Oryctolagus cuniculus: one gene and its partner. The protein of the gene in region 1 interacts with the protein of each later gene in a biochemical or structural test. Links are inferred from orthologs where the notes say so. Each region holds a gene or a part of one and is shown on either strand. Other genes may lie near its edges.

Region 1 (4,462 bases):
GCACATTTGGGGAGGACCAGGGGAAAGGAAGGCCCAAGATAAACACAACATTTTCCTGGACCATCAATTGTATTCAACAGCAAAGCACTTACTGTTTAGTGTAAATACTTTTATACTAAAACCAGCACAGACGTTTTTAGAAAGAATACAAAATGCATGTGAATTTTTAATAGAAAAACTGGAGTCTTCACGGCGATTTCTTGCATGGGAGACCCACTTCAGACACCGACCTACTTGTAGACCCCTGCGCGTCAAGACTCAGCCTTCTCTGTAATTAATCGGAGTCTGAAAGATATGACAATGAGGGCTGGCGCTGTAGTGTAGCAGGCAAAAGTCACCGCCTACAGTGCCGGCATCCCATACGGGCACTCGTTCTAGTTCCGGCTGCTCCACTTCTGATCCAGCTCTCTACTGTGGCTTGAATAAGCAGAAAATGGCCTAAGTGCTTGGACCCCTGCACCCACGTGGGAGACCGGAAGAAGCTCCTAACTCCTGGCTTTGGATCAGCTCAGCTCAGGCTGTTGCGGCCATCTGGGGAGTGAACCAACGGATGGAAGACCTCGCTTGCTCACGTTCTCTCTCTCTCTGCTTCTACCTCTTTTGACAGGCAGCAAAAAATACTCTGCTTTTCAAATAAATCTTTAAAAAAGTTTTCTTGTAAAAAATATATATGACAATGGTTGTTCAGCATAGACCCATTACAGCGTCTGCACTTCACACCACCCTCCAGGGTGAACACAAGACGCCTCACAGTCCCAACCCAGCACTAACTAGAAAGCACCTCGTTCTCTCCCAAAGAGGTCTGGGTGCTGTTACAGCCACCTGGGTTAGCTCAGCCTGGGGAAACAAAGAGGAGCCATCAGTCTAAATTCTTCCCAGGCACACTCTTTTGGCCACAGCCTGCTCCAAAGCCCCATCTCCACCAAAAGCATCCTCACCCCTCAGAGCACGGCTCCTGCTGGAGAACATATTAAAGACACCCCTTCCAGGGAGGAAGTCATAAAATAGGGCACATCTCTTGGGAAAGGGTGTCCCTTGTGGCTCACAATAGAAGAGTGGAAACTTTTTCTATTATGGTAGCTGTTTTTGTTGTAAAAACAATAACCACATGACAGAGACCTAGGAAATTTTGTCTTTTTATGAAGAGCTACTACTGACCACAAAAGAAAAGGGGGGAAAAATCAATGAAAGACCACATGGAAATAAAAAGCAATTTAATTGGGTTTGGTTTGTTTGTCTTGCTTATTTTGTGTGTAAAACACATACACATTCAAAAAGACTGAACGGTGATTTTAAATTAAGAACAGAGAACGTGAAACTTTAATGGTGCAATAAACGCATTAAAACACACTACAAAGCTGTATCATCAATAGTAAAGAAAGGACGGGCAGGGGAGCTAGGAGAAACATACAAGGGAGGAGAGAGAAAGAAATGGATAGAGGAGCGAAACAATAGAAAAGGAAGACAGGCAGCAAAACACAGGAACAGACAATGGGCCCACCGCAGACAAAAAGCAAGAGCAACCAAGGATCCATAAGACACTTCCTAAATTGGCCAAAGAAAAGTACTATTCATTGCCAGCTCAGGGCTTGGGCTATAGACTTCAAAGTCTTATCACCTTTTATCCTGGCCTTTGAATGGCTCATGCTCCGCTTAACCACTGTTCACAGCTATTGAATTGCCCACTGAAACATTATGAGGCTTAGCTCAGGTCATAAGCCAGAGGCTTCCCCCAAAATGAGCTCCAATTCAGCAAAGCAGTCATCTCCAGACATCTCTGGAAAGGGAGTCCATGAATCGCCAACTCATAAAATGTACAAAGCACCCATGAACGACAGAGGAGAAAATGCTGCTTTCATCAAACAGAAATGTCATGGAAAACTTTGCTGTAGTTTTGCATTAAAGGTTGGGGGGAGCTTCAGCAGAACTGGGACCCCTCAGCATTCGCCAGCATCCCGCTGGCATAGCTGCCTCCCACATGTCCAGATCCTGCTTGTCCTCAGCCACAGGCCTCCGAAGCAGCCTCCAGCATACTCTGAAATCAGAGGGTCACCAGGAGAGACCACAGGGACTCCAGGTCCGTCTCGGGCCCAGGCGGGACTCTCAGCTGGCCCCTCTGCACCCTGGCCTCAGCCAAGCCGCTCCTTATTCCACTCCGAGGGCGGCAGAAATGCCCTCCACCTCACAGCTGATTCTGCTCAGAGCTTGGCTTTCCCACGCGTCCCGTCTCCAGCTCCCACCTTCTCTGGTCTGTTTCTCCAACTTCTCTGCCTCTATTTCCTCCTCATTTTTCTCTGCCCCATCTCGGGATAATCCTTCTCAGAGACATATCTGGAACACAGGACCTAGAATCTATTCACTGGGCTCCTACCCCAACTCTGCATCTTGCTGGCTCTGTGACCTTGGGCAAACAGGCCAATGCCCCAAGCTCTCAGATTCCTCAGTGAAGGAAGTGCACCTGGAAACCACAGAGGTTTCTTCCAATGATCACACTCTAAATGTACAGCTGCATAACCATAAATAAAATGGGTTCAACATACCAGGAAGAATTACAGAAAACTCCCTTCCCTTAGCAATCTGTCATCCCACCCCTCCCCCCCCACCACCACCCCAGAAAATCACCCACTCTGAGGTCTGTGCCTCTGCCCGGGGCCATTCTAGCTCTGAATTATTCACATATGGTAAAACCTCACAATCACACAAATCAAGGGAAAGGTGAATCTGAATCCAACAAGCCCAAGTACTAGTTTCCTTCATGCCAAGAAAGAGCCTAACAACGCCATCACAAGCTGCACTTGTGAATCTAAGAGCAGTGGCGCTGTCAGGAACCCTGAAAATGATCTATCGGAAGTCCTCCACCTTACCAACAAGGACACAGGCCCGGAGAGTGATGGGAAGGCACGAGCCCAGGGAAGACTGGTGGGCAGGAGCAAAGCCAGCTGCCCTGCCTCTGGTCCAGAGCGCCTCCACCAAAGCTTTGGGAGGCCATCTGTTCCTTTTTCAGAAACAGGTTAAATCCTAAACTACACAGTGAGTGCCCTCTACAGCAAATCTATTTCCACGTCAGGGAAGGGTCCAGAGCTCCATTTAGACAACCAGAGGATTACCAGTGCTGCACAATAAAAGCTTTCTTTCCTGGGCTCTGCCCTTTCAATTCTCTGCAAAGAAAACCCCAGACTCGGCTCTCTGGATTGACCTCTCCGGATTGGAGAGGAGAGGAGGGGGAAGAGAAGGGAGAGTGGACAGCTCTTTGTCTTGCCAGTGAGAAGTGTTGGCTCCTCCTTCTCAATAAATCCTACTCCCCCTTCAGCCCCCAATAATCCCATTATCTTCAGAAAAGTTTGCAGAAACTCTCCAACTACAACCAAAGAGCAGGTCAGGGGGGAAAGGGCCAGCAGGGGTGGGTGTTGGTGGAGGACCACAATACCCTCCCACGGCTACACCCCAACAGGGTACGGCCCATTGCATTTCAGTTGCTAATTCCCGGCAGCCCGGGTCTGCAGTCTTGGGACCCTCCCGCTGAGAAATGTGCTCCCAGCAACCCCTGGAGAACTAACCCTTTCCTATCCATCTACCCCAACAGTGCCCAGGGCAGAGGTGCCAACAGACCAACCCCTCCCTCCTTTCCCAGGCCACAGGGAGACATCAGCTATTTAAGGCAGCATCAAGAGGGTGGGGCAGAAAATTGCTCCCCCACCCCCCCCCCCCCCGCAGAGCCCACACACACCCCCTCCGCCTCTACCTCCTCCACGTCGCTACGGGCAGTAGATATGGAGTCTCCGGGCGTCCGTCATGCGCTTCCTGTCACCGCGGCGACGGCTGCGCCCCCTCTACGGCCCACCCTACTTCAAGTCGCCCCCTCTCTCTTTCAGTCACCCCCAAGCCACGTTCCCAACACAGACGCAGAACTGAACCTAAGTAGAGGAGCCCAAACGGCAAGGGGAGAGGAGCCAGCTAAGCCTTCATTCACTCCGGAGAGGCGAGGCGCGCCCGGGGCCCGGGGCGCGGAGGCGGAGGTTCCATGATGTCCCTGGGAGAGGCGAAATTGATTCGAGCCATTTCGGCAGGTCGGCCCTGCGACTACAGGGGCATCCCAGCGCTCCGTGTTTGCTACGCAAAATCCAAGGGCTCACCCAGAACACGCCGGGGCCACGCTCACCGGGATCCCCTCTGCTCTTCTGTAGCCACACAACAGCGTGATTCATTCTGTCTGCCGGGAGGCAGCAGGCGTGCGCCGGCGGCTGGCAAAGCGGACGCACCGGCATGCAGAATTCGACTGCACGTCTCCCCCCACCAAAGGAAGCAAAGGACCTGAAGCCTCCTGCTCCTTCCATCGTGAATGGCCACCGCCGATCCCGGCAGCCAGGTCGAGAGGCAGCGAGGTGGGCGCGGAGGTTGCCTCCAGCCCACCCCGGCGCGGGGAAGCCCAGCAGAAGGCTGTCAGCCGGCGGGAGCGCAGGCC
Region 2 (4,496 bases), on another chromosome or scaffold:
GAGGAGTCGCCAGGACCCGCCCAATCCTCGGGCGTACATAAGGAGCCCCGCGCGCTGCCGGCCAGCACTCGGCTCCACGCTGCACACTGCGCTATGTGTCACTCTCGCAGCTCGCTCTCCACCATGGCCGTCCTGCCAGCCCCGACCCCTGCCCCCTCCACCAGCCCGGGACACCGGCGGGGCTCTGGGCCTGAGATCTTCACCTTCGATCCTCTCCCGGAGCCGGCGGTGGCACCCGCCATGCGCGCCCTCGCTTCTCGCGGGCACAAGAGGAGAAGCCGCAGGGTTCTGTACCCTCGAGCGGTGAGTGTCTCCGGAGTGGGCAGCCTGGGGGAGGGGGGCGCGCTGCCCTGGTGCGGCTGGGGAACCACCGGACGCCAGGCTCTTGATCTGACCCGTCCCTTCTGTCTGTCCTTCCTCAGGTCCGGCGCCAGCCGCCAGCCGAAGAGCCGAATCCCGCCAAGAGACTCCTCTTTGTGCTGCTGACTATAGTGTTCTGCCAGATCCTGATGGCCGAAGAGAATATGTCGGCGCCCCTGGTCCCGGAGGACGCCCCCAGCGCCGAGTTCCCGGCGCCCACGCCGGCGCCCCCTGTCCTCGAGCCCTTCAATCTGACCTCGGAGCCCTCGGACTACGCTTTGGACTTCAGCACTTTCCTCCAGCAACATCCAGCCGCCTTCTAACTACACATCCCCCAGAAGAATCTGAAAAACCCAACCCACACCAGACGTAGCTGGTGCACAAGAGCGTATCCCAAACTGGGACTTCCAAGGCAACTCAAACTCAACACTACAGCCAAGGCGCCAGCCGGGGCCCGGGCGAGCCCACGCAGGCCGCCTGCAGGTGCCCGGCTGGACTCCTCATTCGTATTTATATGTATTTATATGTCCTCCTAGGTGATGGAGGGACGTATGTAATATTTATTTTAATTTATGCAAGGGCGCGAGATCCGCCCCCTCTGCTGTAAACGCAGGTCTTTTGGTATTTATTGGACTTCGTGGGGTTGGTGGAGGCAGAGCGGGAGGGGGGTGGTGGTGGGTCGTGTCTTTAGTGGGTGACACCTTGCGCTCTCCAGCGTCTCAACCCCGCCGGTCTGCGGTGCGAGGCTTCGGGGAACTGCTGGGAATGAGGTCTGGGGCCGTCAACCTCCTCCAGGTTGCCCCTAAGGGGCGGCTGTCGGGGTCGCCCGGTATGTTCTGTGAACACAAATAAACCTGATTTACCGTCTGTGACTCTCCCAGTGTGCTTCTTTCTGCAAGCGGCGAGTCCCTCCTCCCCGCCCGCGGGAGGAGCGGTGGCCGCGCCCCGCCCCGTCCCGCCCCCGGTCCCGGAGCCCCTCTTCCCGGAGTCGGAGGGCCGCCGTTGGCTGCCGGCTCTGTGGCTTCCCCAAGTCAACCGCGGCACAGCCCAAGTGTGGCAGCCTCCCTTCCTCCGGGGGTGCCGGAGCCGCGGAACTCACGTCCCGCGCACGGGGCGGAGCGCGCAGCGGCCGGGGCGGGACTGCGGCTCCCGCAGGGCGGCGGAGAGCGGGGCGCCCCGAGGGGCCGGGGCCGCAGGCGGGCGGGCGCGGACCCAGCGCGGCCTGCCGGGAAAGGGGCGGGCCGAGCGCGCGGGGCCGAGCGGGTGGGCTGGGCGGGCTCGCGTCTGCCGCAGCAGCAGGGTGCGGCCGGCTGGAGGGCCGGGCCGGGCTTGCGGGGAGACCGGTGCGCTAGCTGCCCCTGTTCGGCTCGCTGGGCGTCCGGGAAGGTAAGTGGGGGCGGGGAGAAGCAGCCCGGAGCTGCGGAGGGCAGGGGGAAAGGAGTGACCGGAAACACGGGGAAGGGTTTACGCAAGGGATTTTCAGGGTTGCGCTGGGGTAAGCCGTAGCGGACCCAGGGGTGCGGAAGGGACGGGCGTGCCCATGCGCAAAGGCGTTCTCTCCGTCTCCTCCAGCTTCCTCTTGAATCATGTTTTTCACCTGCGGCCCAAATGAGGCCATGGTGGTCTCGGGTGAGTACTGTTCTCGTCCCAGACAGCCAGTTAACCCTCCCACCCCCAAACCGCTGTGAGTCTGCTCGCTGCCGCGTCTCCCCCTTCCCTGCCAGCTCCCCAGCGCCCAGCTTCTGCCCCCTGATGGTCGTGAGAGACCCACCTGTCATGGCCAGCCGCCCCCTGCCCAAGTCCAGGCTACCTGCCCTGCGGGTCCTAAGCTGTCTCTTGGGGACTGGGGCCCGCCCCCAGCTCCTCCGTGGCCACTCACCGCCCCGCCCCTCGCAGGTTTCTGCCGGAGCCCCCCAGTCATGGTGGCTGGAGGCCGCGTCTTTGTCCTGCCCTGCATCCAGCAGATCCAGAGGTGGGTAGGAGGAGCACAGGGATGGAACGCCTTGGCTTTCAGTCTCTCTCCTGCCTTTCTTACTGTCTGTGTCTTCTCCCGCCCCTGCCCCCAGGATCTCTCTCAACACACTGACCCTCAATGTCAAGAGTGAAAAAGTCTACACTCGCCATGGGGTCCCCATCTCAGTCACTGGCATCGCCCAGGTGAGGCTATCAGAGCCTTCCCCAGAGTCTACTGCTCCATCACCTCCTAGAGGTTTCTGGCCATGAACTTCTCAACCTCTGCTTGCAAAGAAACTCGGCTGCTAGTCTGGCATGTTCCAGGCACCCCAGGCCCCTTAGAAGCATCTCTTAGAGGGCTCCCCTTTCTCTCCCTGGCTTCCTGAGGCCTCCCCCTCCGCCTCCCCTGGCTGCAGGTGAAAATCCAGGGGCAGAACAAGGAGATGTTGGCAGCTGCCTGCCAGATGTTCCTGGGGAAGACGGAAGCTGAGATTGCCCACATCGCGCTGGAGACCCTGGAGGGCCACCAGCGGGCCATCATGGCTCACATGACTGTGGAGGTGGGCCCCGGAGGGCAGTGGGGGTGCGGTGCAGAATCCATGGACCCCAAGGACCCAGCTAGTCTGCAAGAGGTGGTGGGCTGGGAGCTGAAGGTTCTTCTGCCCCCCACTCTTTCTGTTCTCCTAGGAGATCTATAAGGACAGGCAGAAGTTCTCAGAGCAAGTTTTCAAAGTGGCCTCATCAGACTTGGTCAACATGGGCATCAGCGTGGTGAGCTACACACTGAAGGACATTCACGATGACCAGGTAAAGCCAGGCTGGTGGTCCTTCCTGGCCCCCTCGCCCACCTCCCCTGCCCTTCTGAGGACTCCTGATTTCTGCCCCACCCCCACAGGACTATTTACACTCTTTGGGGAAGGCGCGGACCGCTCAAGTCCAAAAGGATGCTCGCATCGGGGAAGCAGAGGCCAAGAGAGATGCTGGGATCCGGGTGAGATTGATGGGGGCTGGGAGGGGCACAGCTGAGGGGGCTGGTGGGGCTGGGAGGGAAGCTCTCGCTTGATGACCTTCTTTCTTTCTGCCCTGACTTCTCCTGCCTGATCTCTGCTTGGACAGGAAGCTAAAGCCAGGCAGGAAAAGGTGTCCGCTCAGTACCTGAGCGAGATCGAGATGGCCAAGGCGCAGAGGGACTACGAGCTGAAGAAGGCCGCCTACGACATCGAGGTCAACACCCGCCGAGCACAGGCTGACCTGGCCTACCAGCTTCAGGTGAGAGCCTCGCACCGGGGAGGGGTCCAGGCTGCTCGCTGCCCCTTCCCCTCCTGCCCAGGCTACCACTCTCTCCTGTTCCAACTCTGATCTTCTAGTTCTCTGTTTCTCCCCACATAAGGAAACATTTAAAAGACTAACATTTCAGCTGAAAAGCAAAGAGAAGGCCAAGAAGGGAGCTGATCAATAGGGTTTGGGCCGTATGTTCGGGGCAGGTGGTGCCCTGTGAACCTGGTGGAGGGGATGAACTACAGGTAGGATCCAGCCGTGCTCCACTCACCAGTCTGTACATTCTGGAGTGGGTTTTGTTTTGTTTTGACAGGCAGAGTTAGAGAGACAGACAGAGAGAAAGGTCCTCCCTCTGTTGATTCACCCCCCAAATGGCCGCCACGGCCGGCGCGCTGCACCAATCCAAAGCCAGGAGCCAGGTGCCTCCCCCTGGTCTCCCATGTGGGTGTAGGGCCCAAGCATCTGAGCCATCCTCCACTGCACTCCCAGGCCACAGCAGAGAGCTGGACTGGAAGAGGAGCAACCGGGACAGAACCGGCGCCCCAACCGGGACTAGAACCCAGGGTGCTGGCGCCGCAGGCGAAGGATTAGCCTAGTGAGCCACGGCGCCGGCCTGGAGTGGCTTTGCATCTGCCCAGAGGAAGGAGTGCCTTGTAAGTTGCATAGGAGCACCCCATAGGCTAAACAACAGCTATCAAAGAAGGATTGGAGAAAGGAGAAAGGAGAGCCAGGCATGGAATCCTACAAAGCGTGATCTGTGCAGCCCTTGATGTCGCGAGGAGGTACAGCCCATCCTCGTTATTCAGGGCTTCCTTGGGGGAGAACCCCCGCATGTTCACTGGAAGGTGCTGGTAACCCCAGAGTCAGTACTCACAGCACATTACGGTCACGCACGCCAAGGAGTT

The links.
Region 2: the proteins of SORBS1 (region 1) and FLOT1 form a complex in vitro, tested with the Homo sapiens proteins (2 studies listed by BioGRID). The link is inferred for Oryctolagus cuniculus from reciprocal best matches to the Homo sapiens genes SORBS1 and FLOT1.

The regions. Positions count from the first base shown.
Region 1 is NC_091446.1:34,100,456-34,104,917, reverse strand, and holds the start of SORBS1 (sorbin and SH3 domain-containing protein 1), read right to left. Parts: upstream 3,093-4,462; 5' UTR 2,990-3,092; coding exon 2,865-2,989; intron 1-2,864. UniProt on the Homo sapiens protein: Plays a role in tyrosine phosphorylation of CBL by linking CBL to the insulin receptor. Required for insulin-stimulated glucose transport. Involved in formation of actin stress fibers and focal adhesions.
Region 2 is NC_091436.1:139,702,212-139,706,707, forward strand, and holds the start of FLOT1 (flotillin-1), read left to right. Parts: upstream 1-1,596; 5' UTR 1,597-1,746; intron 1,747-1,932; 5' UTR 1,933-1,946; coding exon 1,947-1,989; intron 1,990-2,256; coding exon 2,257-2,332; intron 2,333-2,426; coding exon 2,427-2,517; intron 2,518-2,729; coding exon 2,730-2,873; intron 2,874-3,000; coding exon 3,001-3,120; intron 3,121-3,208; coding exon 3,209-3,304; intron 3,305-3,429; coding exon 3,430-3,582; intron 3,583-4,496. Other genes in the region: IER3 (radiation-inducible immediate-early gene IEX-1), read left to right, coding at 94-303, 423-683. UniProt on the Homo sapiens protein: May act as a scaffolding protein within caveolar membranes, functionally participating in formation of caveolae or caveolae-like vesicles.